4 linked regions of the Drosophila melanogaster genome follow. The protein of the gene in region 3 interacts with the protein of the main gene of each other region in a pairwise test. Each region holds a gene or a part of one and is shown on either strand. Other genes may lie near its edges.

The links.
Region 1: the proteins of brwl (region 3) and CG1598 interact in a two-hybrid assay, tested with the Drosophila melanogaster proteins (one large-scale study listed by BioGRID).
Region 2: the proteins of brwl (region 3) and Amun interact in a two-hybrid assay, tested with the Drosophila melanogaster proteins (one large-scale study listed by BioGRID).
Region 4: the proteins of brwl (region 3) and hmw interact in a two-hybrid assay, tested with the Drosophila melanogaster proteins (one large-scale study listed by BioGRID).

What each region holds. Positions count from the first base shown.
Region 1 is NT_033778.4:7,537,732-7,541,431, forward strand, and holds CG1598 (uncharacterized protein), read right to left. Parts: upstream 1,966-3,700; 5' UTR 1,860-1,965; coding exon 1,747-1,859; intron 1,684-1,746; coding exon 1,566-1,683; intron 1,482-1,565; coding exon 1,041-1,481; intron 982-1,040; coding exon 643-981; 3' UTR 501-642; downstream 1-500. Other genes in the region: Gpo2 (glycerophosphate oxidase 2), read left to right, coding at 1-452. UniProt on the Drosophila melanogaster protein: ATPase required for the post-translational delivery of tail-anchored (TA) proteins to the endoplasmic reticulum. Recognizes and selectively binds the transmembrane domain of TA proteins in the cytosol.
Region 2 is NC_004354.4:11,709,612-11,716,619, forward strand, and holds Amun (amun), read right to left. Parts: upstream 5,420-7,008; 5' UTR 4,947-5,419; exon of another isoform or gene 4,864-4,946; intron 4,707-4,863; exon of another isoform or gene 4,629-4,706; intron 4,601-4,628; exon of another isoform or gene 4,411-4,600; intron 4,237-4,410; exon of another isoform or gene 4,198-4,236; 5' UTR 4,144-4,197; exon of another isoform or gene 4,078-4,143; 5' UTR 3,954-4,077; coding exon 3,158-3,953; intron 2,756-3,157; coding exon 1,899-2,755; 3' UTR 509-1,898; downstream 1-508.
Region 3 is NT_033779.5:9,567,333-9,574,096, forward strand, and holds brwl (brickwall), read left to right. Parts: upstream 1-1,557; 5' UTR 1,558-1,866; intron 1,867-2,938; exon of another isoform or gene 2,939-4,082; intron 4,083-4,144; 5' UTR 4,145-4,176; coding exon 4,177-4,421; intron 4,422-4,509; coding exon 4,510-4,562; intron 4,563-4,623; coding exon 4,624-5,633; 3' UTR 5,634-6,240; downstream 6,241-6,764. Other genes in the region: Mtpalpha (mitochondrial trifunctional protein alpha subunit), read right to left, coding at 6,438-6,764.
Region 4 is NT_033777.3:18,359,995-18,364,803, forward strand, and holds hmw (hemingway), read left to right. Parts: upstream 1-1,999; 5' UTR 2,000-2,131; coding exon 2,132-2,335; intron 2,336-2,407; coding exon 2,408-3,022; intron 3,023-3,077; coding exon 3,078-3,775; intron 3,776-3,829; coding exon 3,830-3,989; intron 3,990-4,051; coding exon 4,052-4,189; 3' UTR 4,190-4,283; downstream 4,284-4,809. Other genes in the region: WRNexo (WRN exonuclease), read right to left, coding at 4,616-4,771. UniProt on the Drosophila melanogaster protein: Involved in assembly and/or maintenance of motile cilia. Required during spermatogenesis for axoneme elongation. Necessary for optimal function of the chordotonal (hearing) organs.

The sequences.
Region 1 (3,700 bases), on a different chromosome or scaffold from region 3:
ACTGGTCGCGAGATCAAATTAAAAAGCAGATCCGCCAGACGCGAACTTTTCTTAACTCCCAGATGGGCCAGCTGACCAAGGAGAGCGCTTCGCAGATGAGCATTCCCATTAAGATGAGCGTGCGCCAAGTGCGCAAGTTTGCCGGGCAGTTCAGGCAAATGGATGATAACAATACGGGGTACGTGTCGATTGCAGACTGCTGCAAGGCAATGAAAACGATGGGCGTAAAGGAGGTGCCCGTCGACCTGATGCACGATGTCCTGCGGGACATTGATGTCCATGCCCAGGGCAAGGTGAACCTGTATGAGTTCCTTCTGCTCATGTCGGCTATTGTGCAGGGCAACACCGAGTACCTGCGGTACGCACGGCTGTATCTGGACCACAAAAGGCAGATGCAAGGCAGCAACTTTCCCACCGTAATGCAAATGGAGCGTGCCGGGGGCGGTCTTTGAAAGTATCATTCGTTGTAACCCTCTCCAGTTTGGAATACTGCATCCGTTAAGCGTTGTCTACGCATTACACGTCGAAGCAGATCCCTTCGGGGATCGCTGCCTCAACTTTAATTTATTTTACGCACTTTCTGTTCACACAAACTAAGGAAGAAACTTACAAACGGATGGGTAAAGGGTTGGACGGGCTATCCTATTCCTTGGGCTCGCCCTTGGGGTTGTAGGGCTTCATAAGGTTCTCGGAGAAAGAACGGATGCTCTCTGGACCGCGCACCTCTTTCTCGAGGAGCGGCAACTTGGTTACGTGGAAGTCTTCATACAGGTCGGCAATCTGGTCCAGGTACTTCTCCTGAATCTTGAAGCGGGAGGCGCACATGCTGCACGAGTCGTGCGAGTTCTGCAGAAACAGCAGTTGGTTTACAATGATGTTGTGGACGTCGATGCCGCACTTGGTTAGCTCTTGCACAAGTCGTTCCGTCTCGTACAGCGAGAAGAACTCTGCTATGCACACGCAGACGAATGTAGTTTGATCCTGCCGAAGGACGAATGCGGATTAGGCGTTGTACGAGCTAAATACATGTTTCTACGTACTGGGTTCTTGAACTGCTCGTTGACCTGGGTGATAACGCGCAGCATGTCGTCCAGCTTCTGGGAGAGTGTGTCAGCGTTCACATCAGCCATGCCCAGCATGGAGACGAACTGTGACAGCAGGGGCGCCACCTTCATCTTGAGCCGCAGCAGCTTGCCCAGCCCCTTCTCCACCACCTGGGGAAATGCAATCAGACGCAGCGTGTGTCCCGTGGGCGCCGTGTCGAAGACGACTACCGAGAAGTTCATGCCCTTGACCAGCTTCATAACCTCTGCATAGCTCATCGCCTCGTCGATGCCGGGCAGGGCGTTGATCATCTCCTGCATGACGCCCTTGCTCACGCGCAGCGCCTCATTTTCGCCATCGAAGTACTCCTCGGGCAGCTCGTTGAGACCGGCATTTGGATCGATTTCCATGGCGAACAGGTTGTCAAAGCCATTTACCTGGTTGCGGAAAAGGAATTGCGATGTGCTTTAGTTTAGCTTATACAATGGTAAATGACTTCATTTCCGGATTCTTCCACCAACCTTTGTCGGCACCTTGGTGAACTTCTGATCGAATGCATCCGATATGTTGTGCGCCGGATCTGTGGATATGATTAGCACGGATTCGCGCACTTTCGACAGCTGAACGGCTAGGCTAGAACTATGTTTAACACGAAGATTAATTAGATCAACCGAGAAAGTTGGCTTGTTGTTGTTGTTTTACCTGCAAGTCGTCTTGCCCACGCCGCCTTTTCCGCCCACGAAGATCCACTTGAGGGAGTCCTGCTCGACGAGATTCTGCAGGCTGGGCTCCAGGGGCTCCAAATTGTCGGCCATAATGCCCACTAAAGCGAGACACGTATGAAATTAGTTGAAATTAATAATTGCTTATAAGCAATGAATATGACTTCTGGCGTGCAGAGTGACCGTTTTTAGTATGCATACGTATAAGTTGATAGGCACTAAAATCAGCTGATCACGAAGCACTGCCAGGGATGGATGCTCATTTGGCGCCAAAGGAAAATTATTTGAAAATAAAATTTTGCAAATCTCAATAAACTTGACAAAAGTGAGAACAAAACTGCCAGCGGTGTGAAACTAACATAAGTTTCAACTAATTGTTGTTGTTATAACAATAGCAAAAAAATATTCTCAAATCTGTTGCTGCGTACATGCTCAAAGCTCCGCCGCTTTTATCGTGCCTATTAAATGCACAAAGCGCGCTCGCAGCCCAAGAAAATCACAATAAGTGCCGCGGATGCTTGACCCGTCCCCGTGTTCCCCGCGCCCGCTCTACCCATCACTGTTAATTGTGCAAATCGCGAGCTTATCAAAACCCAAGTGTCGGCGAGAAAATGCGAGCAGCAAGGGAGCACAAACCCAAGTGGCTATGGACTACTAAAAATAGTTGTGAAAACACCTTCGCCGTTGGGCGTCCGCGTTAAATAGCTTCGATTTTTGGTATCTTCGTGTCATTATGGGCTTCACCCCAAAACCACATCGATTTCCGTCCATTGCCGCCTAGTTTTGTCGTTTACTGAACTCGGCGTATATAGAGTTATTTCAACTTATCACAGAATACGGAAGCTGCGCTGTAAAATAATACTTATTCCAAGAGCTAGACCATTTTTGAGTGACTCTGTGGATGTTATTGTGAGTGGATTGCAAACATTGGATAAAACTTATTGAAAATAACATTTGATTTGCACTTAAATCAGATATATTTAGACGATCATTTTAACGGGGATTATTAAATTAATAAACGACAAAGGTATGTACTCAAATAAAAGAAATTGTTTGTTTTCATAAAACTGCTTCCATGCATGTATACTGATAGTGGATAAATACAGTTTTAATATAGTTTTAAAAATGTATAGTATTTAAACAAAAATTAGATGGAAGGGATATATATATATATATATATATTTAATGGGCCATTGGTTTGGACGATATTACATCAAAAAAATATACAAGATGAATGTAATATTTGAACAAAACCCTTTTTATCTTTTTTTTTGCAATTATAAATATACATATATGTATATCTAATAGTTGAGACAGTTGACTATATTTTTTTCTGTTGATTTATTTAAAAAAACTGATAACTGTGAACCTTAAAGTTAAACTTTAACACTTAATTTCTGTTCTGCGCTGTGCCCACTTGTGTGGGCCTGAATACGTAAGAAAGTTTATCATACTCCTCGATATTGAATGCGAAAAATGTTATCAAAGTTGATGAGAAAGTTTTCCTATCGCCTGTTTAAGCAGCTAAATTAAAAACAGATCAATTAACGTTAAAATCACACACGCTTGACAATTTGTTGATATTAACTTATCGCCAAGCTGAAAATATATTGTACAACCAAAAATATTTTTTTATTTTGATACAGAACGGCTTATTGAAAACCCATTTATGGCTGTTAAAAGTTGAACTGAAAAAATTGAGAACAAATCGCTTGGTGAAAAAACAAGAGTGTTTTTGCCTCATATGCGTGTAAATCCGTTTTATGCGACTGAAACGATTCAATCATTCTGGCAGTGCTTTTTAAAATAAAGCGATAAAGTTGGCTGGATGATTTATTTATTTGCCCAGCCCTGGGCTTTCGAGATCCGCTTTTTGTCTGTGCGTGCGTGCGTTTGTTGGCCCATGAAATATGAGCGCATTAAATTTTATTATA
Region 2 (7,008 bases), on a different chromosome or scaffold from region 3:
TCCGGTGCATAGTCTCAATTAACTCCGATCCGGCCAGCAACCAAGGCGATCCAATGACATGGTCGGCGGGGCTAGGATTCCTCTTCGATTTATAGATATTTTATAAAGGATATATGGACGTATGGGATGGTGGCCAGCTGGAATGCAAGTTTCACGGAGCTCGATCAATGCCAGAATGAAATTGACTGATGGGCCGGTGGTCTATATCGCCGATCGAGTTGGCCAGGTAGTCGTGGCAAGTCAAATTAAGTGCAAAAGTATTCTATATATTTCCGTCCTGTTCTGTGTTTTCTTTTGATTAGCACTAGAGCTGTGTTGTTAGCACACCATGCTATCGATGCATAGACATCGATACATCTGCCCACTTGAAGAGCGTTGCCATATTCGGACGAGCCATTACATTATTTTCGATAAGTCGATGACTAGTTCCAACGGCTCTCGATGTAACGCCTATTCAAACACCAAATGCAAAAACCCCATTGAAGTGATAAAACAATTGAAGATGATTGTGGGATGTTTTCAGTTTTATGCCGTGTTTTCTTAATATTTCACATTTTATTCGCACTTATGCTACTAATAATAAAAATGATTATAATTTTCAGATGTGTTGTTACTTTCAAAGTTCCGACCGATCTGCGAGTGGTATGGGTCGTGGATATCGGGGAAACCACCCGGTACCGGCAACCCAAACCACGCGGAGATCGGACGACCTGCGTCGGGTGCAATTAAGATGCGGGCCGTATGCTTCCGTATCTTCTTTTTTCTCTTTTGGAAATCAAATGAAACGTGATTATCGTATAAATTATAAAAAATTCAGTATATGTAAAGTTAAAAAAAAGTTTTACACATAATATAAATTATATTATTATAATTACGACCACAAAAATTTCTTAGTGTTGAAATGAGTTTTGTTTTGTTTTGTTTCTTCCGAGTGTTTGTGTGTTTATGTGTGTGGGGAGGGGGTGTATTCTGTGTGCGGCGTGTTTTGAGTGAGAGAGATAGAGAGAGAGCGCGAGTTGCTGCGGGTCGACGGTCGAAGGGGGTGGTGGTGGAGTTGGTGGTGGGGGGCTTGGTTTATACGACAAGTTTTGATTTATTATTAAATTTAAATACCTATGTATATAAATTACGTTTCTGTTTATTATAATTATTGTTGTTTCCATCTTAATCATTTTGTTTTCTTTCGCTTTTTATTTTTCATATTTTTTTTTTGTTTTTTGTATGTAGTGGGCAACTGCGGCATTTGTAAATTTCTTTATATTTAAATGTTCCTTTTGACTGTGTAAAAATATCGATTTCCATCTGATCTTGTTTTGTAGTTACTATTCATGTATGCATTTGCTTTTCGTTTTAGTTAAATTACGTTAACGCTGCATTCTGAACTCTCTGTTGCTGCTGATTCTGCTGCTTGTTCTTCGGATTCTTGATCGGATTCTTCTGATTCTTCATCTTGGCGCGCTTTCTATGCTATTGAAATGTTGTTTGTGGTGCTGCTTACTGCCTTCTGGATCGGGATCCTATATTCCGCTCTGATCTGATCGGTTATGTTCATGTTATGTCGGGTTGTGTGTGTCTGTGTTGTGTGTATGAGAGTGGAGTGTGTTGGGTGTTCGCATCTCGTTATATGTTGTATATATATATATATATATGTGTATATATATATATATATAATATATTATATGTATGTATAGTTAGTTGCTTAATAGTAGAATTTCTTGAATGTTGTTGTGGTAAAGTGTAGGTAATGTTGCTCTATGTCTCTATGTCGACTCAACTGCACTACATACATATGTCTTTCCACCGGATACGCGGCGAACCGAAACGTGCCGAGCCGAACCGATCCCCGTTTCTGACCCGCATCCGCATCCGTATCCGTATTTCGTTTCCTCACCTCCGCCTCATTCGCTGCGCAGTTTCTTTAGATCCGGTGACTTCTCCCCCACGCCCACACCCACTCCGCCGGCGTTCTTCAGCTCCATATCGCAGTGCAGGGCAGTACGCTTCTGTCCAATGGCTGGTGCCGAGTCTGCACCCGCTGCTACCGGTGAAACCGCATCCACCGCCTTGTTCGCCGCCAGCTGCTGCAGTTTACTGTCCCTCACAATGCCGTTGCTGCTATTGCTCTCGTCAGCCTCTAGCTCCGCCTCATTATCCTCCTCCTCGTCCAGCTCATCTTCCTCCTCGTCCTCCGCCTCATCCTCATCCTCGTCGCCCAGGACGCCGTTCCCGTTACCATTTCCATTGGCTGGTGCTGCAGTCGCTTTGCTGGCTGGCTGTGGTGCTGCTGTAACCGCTTCCTCTTCTGCCAAAGGAGCAGGCTGACCGTTGTTGGTGATCGAATTGTTAGTTTTGTGGGGCTGGCTCGGCGACTGCTTTTGATTCTGATTCTGGCTCGAGTGCTGTGTGGGAGTCAGGATGGGCAGGCTGTTGGTCTTGGGCGGCGCCTCCTGATTGCTTTCAGAGTCCGAGGCGAGCGGTGTTCCACTCGAACCGATGCCAATGCCAATGTCTAGGGCGATGGGCTCACCGTCCTCTGTGGAAGTGGTGGCCGTTGTCTGTGTGGTGCCATCGTTGTCATCGATGATCGGCTCCTGGGAGGTGGAATCGTTCGAAACAAAGTTGGAGTCACCGTCCTGCAGGGCGGCGCCAACGGCAGCTGCGTTGTTCTTGGCCTCGCCCGACTGTAGAGGCGTCAGAGCAGCCGGGTTGGTGTTCTCATTCTCTGTCTCCGATTCTGTAGCAGTGTTGCGACCGCCTGGGGGATAGAAAGCATTGGATTAGCCATCAATGGTCAATTTGTTAACTCGGCGAACTGCGGTCAGAGTAATCAAACAAAGAAACTCTGTGTTTGAAATTATTAGACATCCTAACACTTTTGAAAAGCTGCCAACAAGTATAAGCTACTGATAATATGTTAAAAGTTAACTATTTTACAGTAGTAACTTTACAATTCCTCCTTTTTATTTAACATGACGCCACGAGTAACGAATAAATTGTAAATTGTAAATTGACCACTAGGCTACTACAAACATAATGTTTAATGGAAAATTCCGGATAGGAAAAATACTTGGTTTCTGGAAAAGACCACTCGGTTTGAGTGTTTTGTTGCAAGGGTGTATACTCAAGCCGCAGTTATCGGATCATCTTAGCTGCTTACCTGCTCCTTGGCTTTCGTCGTCCAAATCAACACCCACACCATCGTTGGTATCGTCGCCATCGAGCACCTTGCTGCTGTTGCCGTTTGTGCTGAGTGAACCGGTGCCAGTGGAGGCGCCGGATCCAGGCGGCGGCATATCGTCGAGCATCTCGGGACTGAGATCATTGGCCACATAGTGTGACCAGAGGGCCAGCTCCACGCGATGAGGCGACCAGTGCGGCGTATCCCCGCCCACCTCCGCATTGAGGCGCTCCACGGTGGCCTGAATGTGATTGACGAAGTTGAGGTACTCCTTGGTGGTGTAATCGATGCCCTCGATCTCTGGTATGGCCATCAGGCACTCGTCGGCCATGAATGGTGCCGAATCGGGAGCTGCGGCTGCCAGCAGTGCACTGGCCATTGTGGTGCCAACGCCCTTGAGGTTCGATAAAGCTGTGATCGCCTGCTCCAGATTGGGCAGCTTGCGGAAGGCCTTCTTTGTCTCCTGGATGACGGCGCGCGGTGTGTTGACCTTGACCAGGTAGGATAGCTGCGGATAGAATTTGCCGCGCGACTGCTTCCACTTCATCGACTGGACGAGCTCATCGTATACCATATGCGCGTCCTTGCCGCGTGCCTTAATCAATTTGGGCAGTTCATTCTGATACCACTGATCCAGGCGGATCAGCTCTTGCGGCTTCTTGCAGCGCTTCTCGGCCTTTAGCTTAAGAACCTGGGGATAGAGCTGGTAGCAGTACTCGAACTGTTTGGTGCTCCCGGTCTCGAAGAACGAGACCGTCGCCTTGCCGTTGGACATCTTCTGCGGATGCGGATGTGTCGTTGTCGCCTGCTAATGATTGGTGGTATCGCTGTATCTCCTTATCGTGGTATCTATCGCCTTGGGGCCCAGGACGTTGGCTGATCCGCAAGTGACCGGCTGGCTATATATGCGGCAATATATGTACTTTGGTGTAAGCTACTATACGCCAAATCAATTTATTGCTTACTGTTTAGTCTCCTGCTTTTCCTGTCCGTTCCGAGCTGCTCCTGTCAACGTACTGCTATTCGTGCGTTGAGAGTTCCCGGCGAGAAAGAAGCGAGTACGTGAGAGACAGAGAGAATGCGAGTGCGAGAGAGGGAGCACGAAGAAGCAGCAACGCAAAGGAGAGTGGATGAAAAGAGAAGAAAAGAGGCACACAATTAGGTTTACAGTTACGATTACATATGCAAGGGGGATCGGTGCGGTGGCATAGGGAGGTAGTTCGATTGATTACTGTTAATGCTGCTGCTGCTGCGGCCGTGTCTCTGTTGTTTGTTGTATTTACTCAATCCGATAATCGCTCACTATTTGCCAAAAATCTGCTCGCTTCCGCCGCCGTTTGCACAGCACACAAATCGAATTTTTACAGTGCTGTCGTCGGGTTCTTTTTAGTCCGCCATGCACTCACACAGTCAAACTGACAGGCACACGGATGGACACACACACACTTACTCAGCACACTCGCTCTCGCACACCCAAAGAGAGCCAGGCGCTCATACACAGGCAAAAACACGCACACAACACACACACTGACTTAAACACGCACACACTTATATACTGAGGCAACAACAGCAGCAGCAGAAAATTTCTTTTTCATCTAGGTTTTCAAAAAAAATACGAACGCGAGCATTAAATAAACGAATGCTACTATTTTTCGCTGTTGTTGTTGTTTGTGCTTTTTTCGTACCTCTTGTCTTTTTGGCAAACGGTGAGAACAGCTTTTCACTAGCGCACTGCACGCACACAGATGAGTGGGTGAACAACAAATACCTTTTAGTTAGTCGCCGCCAGTCTTCCTTTCCGTCCACATCCAAACAACTACTCCAATGCTTTGCTGTTTTTCTGTGTTGCCTCTGCTTTGCTTTGCTTCGCTTCGCCTCTGTGCTTGTGCTGTGCTGCGTGCTTCGTGCTGTGCCCGTGCTGTGCTGCTTCTTCTTCTTCCTCTGCTGTTTCAGTTTCTGCTTTCTGCCTGCAGGGGCGCCGTTGACAACTGACAAATAAAAAGGGGTTACTCTGTTCTCGAAATGAGCACGCCACCGAAGGCACAACAAAAAATTAAAAAGGATCGGAGCGGAGCGATGCAGCTGTGCGATGTGCTGCTAACTCGTGTGACGGGAATTGGGAATTGGGATTGCGAATGGGAATGGGAGGGAATACGAGAAGCGAATATGGGAATGACGAACGACGACGAACCGGGAACAGGAGTTGTCGTTCTATCTCGCCCGCACTCGGTGCCCGAATGTATCTGTATCTCTCTGGCACCCTCGGCGTTCCATTTCATTTTGCCGGCGACGTCCGTGCTCTCTGCCGCCGCTCTGCCATCGCCTCTGCCGCTGCGTTTATGCGCAGTGCGTCATTACACGAATACCTGTTTAAAGCGGAGGCATAAACGCGGCTTTGTCGATCAACATCCATGTTACCGAAACCCATGTTCGAGTTATAGAAACTTCGAGTAACAAATATCTATATTCTAGCAATGTTTACCCTTATTAGCTTAGTTAGTGCAATTATGTTTCATGTTTTTACAAACAGCAGAATGTTTTTAACAATAGTTATCTCTATATTCAGGTCCTTCAATTAAATCAAAAAGGAATGGGTTTTGTGAGTGGGTTGGGCTCCAGTGAGACTTGTTAATAATTTAAGAATTCGCGATATTCTAGTGTAAACAGCGCGTCACTGCATGTTCGCTGCTTTTGTTGTGCCAGTTGCCAGCGACAGCGGCGTCGTGTCATTATTCATATTCATGAGGGGGTGCGTCAGGTTTGCTGAATTTTACTGACTTGTTTGCGCGAACCGAAATTATTTATGGTTCAGCACGAAGAGCGATAGAAATTCATGCATATGTTGTTGGTTGGTTAAAAAGTTGCCCTTACATGCAGTTAAGTGCATATAATTTGTCTACTTGCGCATTTATTAAAAATGCATACATATTAAATAATGTACTTAATTACTCAGCGGTTTGAGGGTTGGAGCATTTACAGATGACACTGTAGTGATCAAATGGTAGCTATACATGTATAAATATCTAAAATATTACAAAACTATTCCAGCGTTCAAGCATTAACTAATTCGAGAACAGCTGCTGGTTCCATAATCGAGTACACACGTGTGCTACTCAAAGTCTAAGCTGAGAGAGCGGTCGAGCGGCAACTTGATATTTAAAAAACAGAACCCTACTTAACAGTCGACTCAAGTTCGATCCCCCCGCAGGTACGCCCCTCAGTTCACCTATCGCTCGTTTGCCTTTGCCGCCATCATTCGCTGTTGCCGTTTTTACCCTATTCGTCGAGCAACATACATAGCAGCTGCAATTTTGCTGTTTCTGTTTGTGGCTTCCATGTGCCTGCCATTCGTTCATTATACCCTTGTATAGAGCATTATCACTTTTTCAGATAGCGGCAATCCTATCTAATACATTATCAATATGATCAATTATATGGTTTCATATGTACTTCAGTGCGATTGGCTTTCCAATTTGATGATCTACTGAAATAAGCTTTTATCAATTGCTGCAAAATCGATCAAGCGAAATTTAATTTATTAGAAAATATTCCACTATAGAGCATCAAAACGTCGGCTAGACCCAGATAGCTTCCTTTTCTCGCGGCGATATGCGTGCGATATATCGCATCGATACTCGATGCGGATGCCCATCTGTTTTGCGACATTTTCCCGCTTTCCCTGTTGCAAAACCCGTTTTTCGAATTATAAATTCGAGTATTTTTTAAAACTTATAATGATTCATTTTCTAAAATCCCCACTGGAGAGCGACATTCGAATTCGTAGTGGTTGAATTTGTATTCTCTCTTTGCCATGACACAGCTGTATGTAT
Region 3 (6,764 bases):
GGAAGTCATTTAGTCAAGAGTAAATTGTGCATTCTAACGAAACTGAAACAGGTATATTTATCTATTTATATTTAAATATGCATAAATGCTTATTTTATTTCTGAAGTAAATTAAAAAAAATAGCTGTTCAAATCTATACCGGAAGTAGCATGCGCCACCTAGCGAGTAGCCCACGAAGCTTGTTCAAATGTCCGAAAAGCTCGCCTAATAAATTTGAAATGTAAACAAATGTTGTTGGAAAGCTTGTTGGCAACTCGGGCGGCAGCAACAACTACACAAAAGCAGCGATGTTAGCGGCAGAGAAATTGCAAAGCTTTGTGAGCAACAACAACATGATTTTTGTTTGCTCGCTTTGTTGTTGGTTCTGAGAGCGACAGCTGTTGTAGTGTCCGTGAGAGCGCAGTTTATGTTTGTGTGCGGTGCTGAGTAAGCAACTGTTGTTGTTTCAATGTTCCCTGAGAGTTAGAGCAAAGAAGAAGAAGAAGCGCACAATGGAATTATGATCACTGGAAATTCGCAGGTAAGTTTTCAGGTAAACTATTTGGGTTCCTGTGTTTTATTTTTTTTGTCAGAGTTACAGCGTAAAAAATGTGTATTTTCTATTTGCGACTGTCACCTGTTCACTAACATATTTTGGGGAAAACCAATTATACATGTTAATGGACGTGGAAATAAATAGAAACATTACCATTAGACAGTAATAATAAGCCTGAAGTTATATTCAACATAACAATCAACATACATATGTAAAAATTGTATTGCCCAACAAAAAGATCTTGAACATGATATATCTTTTGAAAATCCATTTGAATCAATCGATTTCGATCAGGATTACCTAGTAGTCCGCTGATCCTTTGAGAGATCCTTTCGGGGTGGGTGACTAGCCTCTAACGACAGGCAACACTCTTGATGCAGTGCAACTATTTTTGTTGGCCTGTGTCCCTTTCCTACCCTCCACAACCGACAACCAACTCATTGTATCTGTATCTTTGCATTTCGTACCGCGCAGTTGCCGTTTCTCCGACTCGAAAACACTCGTCATTCGTGTGCGTGTGCATTGTTTGTCTTATTTGTTGTTCGTTGCCAGCAACAACAATAAAAAGTTCCCTGCTGTTGAGCAGCCAGCTGTGTGTGTTTGTATTGGCGCATTGGTGTGTGTCCGTGTTAGTATCTGTGTGTGTGCGGCGGAGAGTGTGCGTTGTTCTCTGTTTGCTCGCCGTCCACTCGTGTCATGTTGTTGCTGTTGCTTCAGTGTTCTACGTAGCCGATAGATACTGGTTGATACACTGAGGGAATACGTGTTTAATTGGTACTTGTTTGAACCTCATAACTATTAAATTAATACCGCTTACATGGATCATTAATAAAGTCTGCAAATAATTTTATATTTTTCCCTTTAATTAAGTTTGGGGCTAATAATACATTACCAATTTAAAACATCTTTATATTACATTTCACAATTGCCAAGTGACAACTCTATTTCTCTCAGTGCACCGCTCGCTCTCGCAGGGCAGCAGTCGCATTTGTGGCTGTGTCTGTGTGTTTTTCTCTGTGTGCTTAGTCGCCTTGGTCGCTTGGTACGCGAAACATACGACATTGCCAACAATCCAACAGTCCGCCGCCGATTCCCGAGCGCCGTGCACCGTCGACTCGACCGCGAGTTTTCGAATTCAACATTTTTGAACGTTACGTCAGTCGTCGGTCGCTGCAGCAGCAGCAGCAACAAAAATATTTTTGGCGCCGTTTTATTTGTGTGCCGTGCATCGTGTCGTTTTGAAATCGCTGCGAGCAAGGAGTTGTTGCGTTTTGAAATCGCCTCTGCAACAGGAGTTTTTCTGTAATCCAACGACGAATACCAACCAAAAGGTAATGAATTCTTTGCTTGGAACAACATCACAAGTTAGGAACAACAGCAACAATAACAGCCTGATAAGCAGCAGAAAGAAAAATTCTATATGCCATATTGTTTCCTTGTGTGCGATTGCCTGTGAATGTGTGTGTGTATTGTGTGTATTGTTGTTGTTGTTGTTGTCTATCTAACAAAGTTATTGCGATTGTTGTTGTTGCTGTCATTGGGCCACGGAATATACAATATACTGTATGTATTTTTGTTGGTGGAGGGAAACAAAGAGCGGGCCGGGTATTTCTGCAAGTTTTCTGTGTTTTGTTAGCTTTAGAAATAAATTCTTTTTTTTTGTTGTTGTTTTTGTTTTCCGTTGGGTTTTGTGTTTGGCTGTTGCTGATTCTGTGTTTTTCGATTTGTACGTTGCTGTACTTTTTGCTGAGCCCCGTTGTTAATAGATAAACATGAACATTTCTCAAGGAATTAGTACGCGCTCATGCTGATATGTTTATGTTAAATAGACGTAATACAATAAATATTGCCATATAGCCCAGGTTAGTTGTTTTTCTGCCCCTTCCAGTCGCCATTCCCATTCCATTCCATTTTCCCCCCGCCCACACCGCACACAGCAATCCAACAATAACATTAACAAAAACAACAACGGGCAGAGCCAAAACACGCGAGCAACGTTCGCCTTGATAATGATGTTCGCTGATAATAATGATGACTGGCCAAAGAACACAACAATGCTGCCAGCGCACAGTGGGACCAAAGTGTTACGAAAATGGAAAGCAATATTAATTTTTTGTTTGGTTCAGCTTAGAGTGCTAGAGTTTTCTCTTGCTACTTTTTTATGTCCGAAAAAATAGAAAACTTATTGGACTCTGAACCTGATATTAAGATTAATAGTTGAAGGGAATTATTACCTACGATTTTCCAGAGATTTACTTACAGATGTCCAAAAAATATATATATACATATAAAATACCATCTAATAGGTTTCCAAGCAATGTGGAAATTGTTATTATATTTTTCCTTGATATACTTTTGGTAATGCCCTTTTTCGATTACTTCCATCCCACTGTGCGCACGTTTTTCGCTTTGCAAAACTGGTGGGCCCAAAAGGTGCTGAAAGTGGCGGGAAAACTGTCGGAGATTTAAGAGCGGCCCAAGTGTCGCCGCGATAGAAAGGGGCTGACGGCAAAAGGGTAGGCAGTCGAGTGAATGGACAGGTGGAGTGGGCTGATTAGAATCGAAACAGGTAGTCGCAGGTGCGAGAGCGAATCGTTTGCAAGTAGTGAGCAGTGAGTGCGGTGGGTACTCGCACACATATTCGTGACTATTCAGCGGATTTGGTTTTGGCCAACATGTTTTCGGATATTGCAACACAACATTGCTTGCTGCACTGAATTGCTGCTGCTGCAGCAGAGTGTTGCTGTTGTTGCTGAAGCATTCTGTTGTTGTTGTTACTGTTGTTTTGTTGCTGCTGCTTTAGTTGTGCTGTTGTTGCTGTTATCAGTGAAGCAGACAAAAGCTTTCAGCTTTCGACGCCAGCAGCAACAGCAACAGAAACAAACGGCAACAAAAACACAAACAAGCAGCACAAACAGCCAGATTGCCTGTTATTTTTATGGCCGCTGCCATTGTCGCTGCTGTGGCTATAATAATATGAAAAGTAAACAAAGTTGCTGGCTGTCGTCGTTTCGCCGCCGAGTTGTCAACATCAACGCAACGCAATGCTTTCCTATCCTATCCAGCTAGCCAAACTGTACTGAATATAATGGCAACTACAGCTACAACTACAACTACAACGACAACAACGGCCACGGCTACAACAATGTTTTATTAAGTTTCACGAAATATATATGAGCGAAAAGCTCTATGCCTCGTTTGCTGAGACAGCAGCAACAGACAGCGGAACAGAACTGAACAGAACACAACTGAACCGAACTGAACAGAAACCAACACACAAACAAATAACACGACAAAACGAAAAGAAACCGAACACAAAACCCCAGCAGAAAAGGCAAAAAAGCTGAAAAAGAGTCGTTGAGAATTCTGTTTGTTTGCCAGCTCAAAAATAAATAGGATTGTATATAAATACATATGTATGTATGGTACATACATACATCGATAGGAAAGTCTAAAAATCAAATATTGGAGTGGCTAACTTAACTTGAAGTTGCCATTTCTTGAGATCATAACGTGCAACATGACAGCAAACCCGTTCAAACCCCTGGTAATCGCTGTTTATTTTAACATTTCTCTAAATAGACTTCAAATTTAAAACGTATCTTTTAGTGGCTCTGTGAGGGACGATACCGCCAACGAATATGACCACCTCAACCCGCAGCAGCAGCAACAACCACAGCAGCGAGCACGAGGAGCGAACCTCCAACGGCACCACCGCCTACAACCACCACAGTCCAACGGGTTCGGGATCCGGAACAGCAGGCGCCTCTATTGGATCCACCAACCGAGTGATGCAGGCGGACGAGGACTTCAACATCCGCTTCGTCAACCTGGTGCGCACCCACAAGTGTCTCTACGACAAGAAGGTGCCCGAGTACCGCAACAGGTGAGTGGCGAGTCCATCGGCTGCCAGAAGATACGATCCAGATCGTTCCGTACGTTCAGTCTTAACTAATTTAAATAACTTTTTACAGGGATAATCAGGAAAAGGCTTGGGTGCTTATTTCAAAGGAGACAAGAGAAAGCGGTAAGCAATAATAGGAAAAACATTAATCCCTTAAATTAATCAGAACTTTCATAATCTTTAGTGATCCATTGCAAGGAGCGATGGCGAAACCTTCGGGCCTGCCTATCCCGCTACATAAAGCAGCAATCCGGATCGGAGCCGCAGCACAAGCCATACTACCTGACCGAGCACATGGCGTTCCTGCTGCCCTTCCTGAAGTCCAGCCGTAACTCTTTGGAGGGGAACAACAGTCTGGCCACTCTGTACCAGATGTCCCAGCAGCATTTGCAGCATCAACCATTTCTCCTGCATCCAGCACTCCATGCGACCGAGGAGCACAAGTACTGCGCCAACACTAGCATCAATAATAATAATAATAACAACGACGTCCATAATGGTGAGAGTATGGAGGTCTTGGAGATGAAGTACTCGATATCGGAGAAGGACGATGAGGAGACCATCGACGCCTTTGATCCCGCGGTTACCAACACCCTGGGTATGAATCGTACTTCGTCCACGCCCACTCGCAGTTCTGCCCTTCAAGGAGGCGGAGGCAATTCACCGGCCAGAAGCGATACCGCTAGTGCGGATAGCATGAAAAACTTCATTCCAGATGTGCAGCTGGCCGAGACGGGCTCGCAACTCATCTACAGCGATGGTGGACATGGCACACCACCGCCTCTGCACTACCATCCGCACTCGCATCCACATCCTTTGACATTGTCCATGGATCATCACCCAGCATCCTACGAACCGGGGAGCACGAAAAGAATCAAGACGGAATGCGAGGCCACCAGCACGATGACGAATGCAGGAAGTATTTACGGCGGACTGAGTTCGTCGGAAGTGGCGGACATGGAGTTCTTCCGCAGCATTCTCCCAGATCTGGCGACTCTCACTCCACAGCAACGTCGCAAGTTCAAGATTGGCATTCTGGAGCTAATTGACGACGTTGTAACCCGATATCCCGCCCAGGATCACAGCAACGGAGGAGGCGTATCTGGCGTAGTCAACGGAAGTGGCGGTAGCAGCAATGGGGGATCTGTTAAGCATCAAAGGCGCAGCTCTGGACGCGATTGGAGGAAACAATAAAGGAATAGAAAGTGTATCGGAAAGTCACTAATCCTTAACTAGGGATAGGATAAGTTTAGTTAGAAGCTTAAGGGGGATCTGAAGCTGGAATGGGTACTAATTCGAATCTGAGCTACTTCAGTCCGCTCACTGTTAATGTGTTGTGTCTACTCAATAAGATGGGTATGTTTTCAAAGGCCTTCAATTCTTTCAAGTCCGCGAATTGTTTCGATTTTGACCAACCATTATGAATGGTCCATTTACAAAGAGCTGCAAGAACTTGCATGACCAAATATATACATATATATATGAACAACTAATATATACATTTAAAGCTATTCCGAAATCGAACACATTCAACGAACAAGAAGTAATGAGGTCTCCTTATAAGCCATTTAGTTCTGACGTAGCAGTTAAGGAATTGTGAAAATAGATTTCAAGATTTTAGAAAATGGCTGCTTCGAAAATATGTTAGTTTAAGGACACTGTATATACGCTGCTATTGAAACCTAAACTATAGAATCTGTGTACAAATGAATTTCCGTTTGAGTAAACAAAGAGGGATAAAGAGATAGATCGATATCAAACTGCTGTGTGTAATAATAAACAAATGAAAGTATGGAAAATTACACGGTAAACTTTAATTTAATTGTCGACAACTTCAACAGAGGGCTTTTTATTGGGCCTTGCCCCATTTTTTAGGCAGCGATGGACCACAATAGGTTTCCTTTCTGAGAGAAATGCACAAGGACACGACTTATCTTCGCACTAAAAGCTAAATTTCGTTAGCGGCTCTACGGAGGCTGGGATCGGATTGGATCGGATCTACAACTTCGAGGAGCCAGTCTTGGGGTAGAACTTCTTCGACGGGTCCTTAGCCATGTCGAGCAGGGTCTGAGCGGGCTTGAAGGGAGCTCCGTACAGCTCAGCATAGGATTGCATCTTGCTGACCAGTTTGCCGGCTCCATACTGATCGACCCAGCGGAAGGGACCACCGGAGAATGGCGGGAAGCCCAGGCCGAACACGGCTCCGACATCGCCCTCCAGCGGACTGTCCAGAATCTTCTCCTCCAGACAGAGCACGGCTTCGTTGATGAAGCGGGATACCATACGCAGCGTCAGATCCTCGGGGGCATTGGCTCCCTTTGAGAC
Region 4 (4,809 bases), on a different chromosome or scaffold from region 3:
GACCCACCTAGCCGCCCCCGCAACCCCCGCGGCCGTCACAAGCTCTTAGCCAAATTGCTGCAGCCCGAAAAGAGAGATGGGGCGCGGAAGAGAGAGGGAGAGCGAGCGAGCGAGGAAACGGAAATAACTTGTAAACTTGCGGCACGCAATTTGCAATTACTTAGGCGACTGTTGCAAAGGAACATCAACCAACGCATGCAAAGGACAAAGGCAAGAGCGACTGCCAAAAAGTGAAACTTCCCTCAACTATTTGCTATTGATTAAACAACTAAAACGGCAAATGGAAGCAGAATTTGCGTATATGCCGTATACACCGTATGTTGCCGTTATAAAAGCTGGTCAAGATTGCGTATACGCCGCTTATTCCACTCTTGCGCTTGATTTTACAAGCCCATATTGCGTATACGCCGCACGTTCCACTCATTTTTTTCGTAAGCGTTTTTAAAGCCGTTGACGCTTGAAGGGCTTGTCACCGGTTATTCAGTTGGCCTAGTTGTTGACTTTTCTTAGCCACGCTAATTACCCGCACTGGCTGGCCAGTCGATGGGCCAGCAAACGATTTCCGCTACGATACCGTGCCACTTCATTCACGCACTCCACAAACACAGGCACATGGCACGCTACACACTTGCTGGTTTGCTCTGCCAATTTTCCCGTTGCGGGCCACAATTTTCACACACATCTATCACGGTTTACGCGCGCATTTTCCGGCTCAGCAACACGCCCGCACGCCACGAAGCTTCTTGGCCAAATGAATTGCCCGCTGGCCAACAGCAGCCGCTTCGCTCAAAGCGAGGAAATCCAGGGGGGAATCGTACCCACGAGGGGGCCACTCTCAACGCCCATGCGCACTGCCTTATGGCCACATGACTCTGGAGAGGATTTGAAGCAGCGATTCGGGAGCACTGCCATCGCCGCTCGCAATATTTACAATTTGCAACTGGCAGGCGGCGGATTTCGACGCCGCTTCGCCTTTCATTCAACTGTCAGATTTCGTGAGAGTCACTCAGAGAAAATACCCCGAGAATGGAGTCGCTGGGCGAGGGAGAGAAAGTGCTGGAGCGCAAGTTCCTGACCACAGAGGCGGCGCCACATGGAGCTAATGGGGATTCTTAATTGTTTAAGATATTTGAAAATGCATAGCAGGAAATAATGGTTTAGTTTACCAAGTAGAAGAAATAAAATCACCAAGATATACTAACTATTATAGATATATGTATGGATTAATATTTATTGTTCAGAGTTTATTATTGCACTTTATAATACATTTATGACCAAGTTAGAAAATCCAATCTTCAATTTCAATTTCCTAACTTTTAATCCATTAAGCATATGAATCATTGGGCTTTAAACTTGTAATTCTTAAGCTAGTGGTTAAAAGTAATATGGTCTTGAGAAAAAAGAAATATATAAACACAAATCAATATTATATATCCGGCAAAAAGTTCTAGTGTTCGCAGCTTAAACCCGGTGCTTAAAAAGTAAATCCGCTATATACTTGCTGAATAACTTTTGTATTATTTCAATATCACTTTATATCAATTTCCAGTGCTGTTGGTTAATTTATTCAGTGTTTTCCATAATTAACGCAACAAGAGCCGGCAAAGTGCTGCTGAGGCAACCAACAACAAACCGCCTGCGCCTGCTCTGTTGCCCAGGACAACCGCTGGCTAGAATAAATAAATTCCCAGGTGTCAAGTGGTGGGTGCTGCGACGAGGGGTTAGCGGTGGGCATGCGGACTCCGCTCACCTGAGCTCCAGTCGACGGTTGGCAGCGCCACCGCAATGCAACCAAGGAGTCAAAGTTGAGCCAAGAAGCGCGGTATGCGCCCAGTTTTTCCAACTTGGGGTAGACCGGAGACGGAGGAGCACCTGCCCCAATGTGGGCGCAAAGGTGTCAATCATAAGAGCGCATCGAAATGGCTGCAAAATCAAACTCAGTGAACAAATAGCAACTACTCAAGCTGAAATCAAAATTCAAAGTTTGAAAGGCCTAGGAGTTTCGGCAGTTCTCAGTACAAACTAAAGAAAAACACACGGGTGACAACGCTAATACCCCAAAAAAAACAAAATACACTACAAACGACGAAAGGAACTTAATCAGAGAACCGACGAAGAATAAGCATACAGGATGTCGGGGGCTGGAGAACACTCAGATGAAGAGTCCTATGGAGAGGAGTCCTTCGAGGAGGACTCGGAGTCGGAGGTGGAGGTGGAGGAAGAAGAGATTGAGTATATTGAGCCAGAGGAGTCAAAACCAAGTGACGCTCTTCTGTTGGGGGAGAGCGACACCCAAAGCGAGAGCGATGTGAAAGAAGAGTTTCTTAGCGGCAACGTAAGTCCTCCTCACCAGGAGCTGACTATTTCCGAGTTCAGCCTTAATCCGCAACCTGCATCGCGCCCACAGCCACACGCCCGTCGCTATTTGGGCGCCCGAGTGGTGTCCTACCTGAGTTCCTCCTCTGACGACGAAAGCCAAGTGGTCATCACCAAGACGGTAGCCGAGGTAAATCAACTAAGTCTGCGAGTGGACACGCCTCCGGAGGATGAGACGCCCTCGGTGCGCACTCTGATGCCAGGCAGTGCCCATTCTCGGGTTAAGGATGAGGACGAGGCTGAAGACGAGGATGATGACGAAGGTGATGGCGAAAATGATAACGATAATGAGGACGAGAATGATGACGAGGATGCTGAAGTCGAGGAAATCGAAGAAGAGGAGGAAGAAATTCCAGGAGACGAAGACGACGCCCAAAGCGATGGATCCATGGGTCGTCAATCCGCCGACGACAGCGACGAGGAGGAGGGCACGGATGTGGAAGTGGAGCAGCTGGAGGAGGACGAACCAATTGTAACAGCTGTGTGCAAAAAGACGGTCCAGAAGGAGTTACCACCGCCCCAGAAGGACATTGTTTCGCTGGTCGATGCCAGTGATAACAGTAGTGAGCACAGTGTGGTCACCATGTGTGCATCAGGAGACGAAACAGACAACACCTTGGTGAAGTATCCTAGATTACGAAAGCAGGTAAATAATGGATTAGATAATATCTCACTACAGATAATTAAACACCTACTCACAGCAACCACTTACTGCTAAGGATTCGCAATCGCTAAAAGAGCAGGAAGAACCGGAAGAACCGGAACAACCCGAAGAAAATCAAACAGAAGAACACATGCCAACATCACAGCCCGATCTGGCGAGGGTTCGGTACCTGGAGCAGCAGATGACCCAAATGTCGGAATTGATCATGAAGTCATTCCAGATCAATGGAGGAGCGCCAAATAGCCAAGCCTTCGAGCAGCTTGCCATGGCCACGGAGATGTTGCAGCAACGAAGTGACAGGCGCGGGGACACTGAATCCGAGATGTCATCGATGACGGAAACGACTATGACCAGTGCTAGGAGCTTGGGTGGAGGAATTCCCCCCCTGACAATGCGGATGGAGCGTTCTCAGGAGGCACTACTCACGACGCGATCTTCCAAGCTACCCAGACCCAAATGCAGATGTCCCTCGGAATCGGATTTAATTGAACACGAGCAGAAACTGGATATGGGTCACGAGTTGCCCCATGACCTGGCAGCGAACTTCGGCTTGGGCGAAGGCTACCTCGTAGACGAATGTGGCCAGGGCGACGGACTCATGAGGCATCCACAACAGCGCAAACCAATGGAGTTAAACAGGCGAGCCGTTAGCGGAACTCCAAGCACCTTCAACAGCGACGGTTGCGAGTATCAAATCAATGTGTCGCGTTCCCGCTGCTCTAATGATAAGATTAAGTAAGTAACTTATAATACTTATACACTCTATTACATATAATTACATCTGCATAGCTATAAAAACCTTGGGCGCAAAAGCTTTAGCTTTACGAATCCCCAAGTGCGCGAGATCGAGCGCCAGAATCAGATTCTTTTGCGCAAGATGATGACTGTGAAGCCCACGGCGACGATCAAGGCTAGCACCAGTAGCATAAAGATCAATGGGCCCGAGAAGGTGAGTACATAATATAGAACTTATGTCCAATATTAAACCTCTTCCTTAACAATGTCATACAGCGACAGACACCTCCAGCGCCACGACTGTCCAGCGCAGCTGTGAACCGGAAGAAGAATCAGCGCCAGATCGACCTGGACAACGATCTGCTCAAGCGGAAACTGGAGGCCATCGGCACACGGCGACCGCAATTCAAGTGACGCCTCCACAGGCAGCTCCAACTGTGTTCATTAAGTAATTAAAAGTGTTTATGCGAATTTACAAAATTAAAATTTATTGCAAGTTGAAAAGTGTAAAAAGCTGTATAATCTTAATATAATTTTAAGGGAATTTATAAACCAACTAGAATTCATGCAAAAATGTATAGTACTAGTAAAATTTCGTTCCGATCAAAGTCAATGCATCAAAATGTGTTTATAATTTGTACATTTAGGTATAAACAATTCTATAAATGTTATCGTAATCAATAATCGAATTGGATAGCAATATTAAATTTAACAATTATTTTGCAGCACGTTGGTAACAAATTAAACTAAGAAAAACTCCCGAAAATAAATGAAAGAAGGCGAAAATATTTAAACAGGTAAAAGGAATTAGATGGCATATCTGAAACTTCAAAGAAAAGCTTACAGAGTCACCTCGTTGATCTTGGTCAGAAATGTCTCTCCCAATGCTTTCATTGCTTTAAAGGCAGCATCTCCGTTCTTTTCCTTGAACTCTTCTTCATTTTTAATCTTGACCTTCTCGCGGCGTTCCAATTCACGATAGATAACCTGACCAATCTGAAAAGAAAACTAAGATTGAACGAAATTGTATGGAA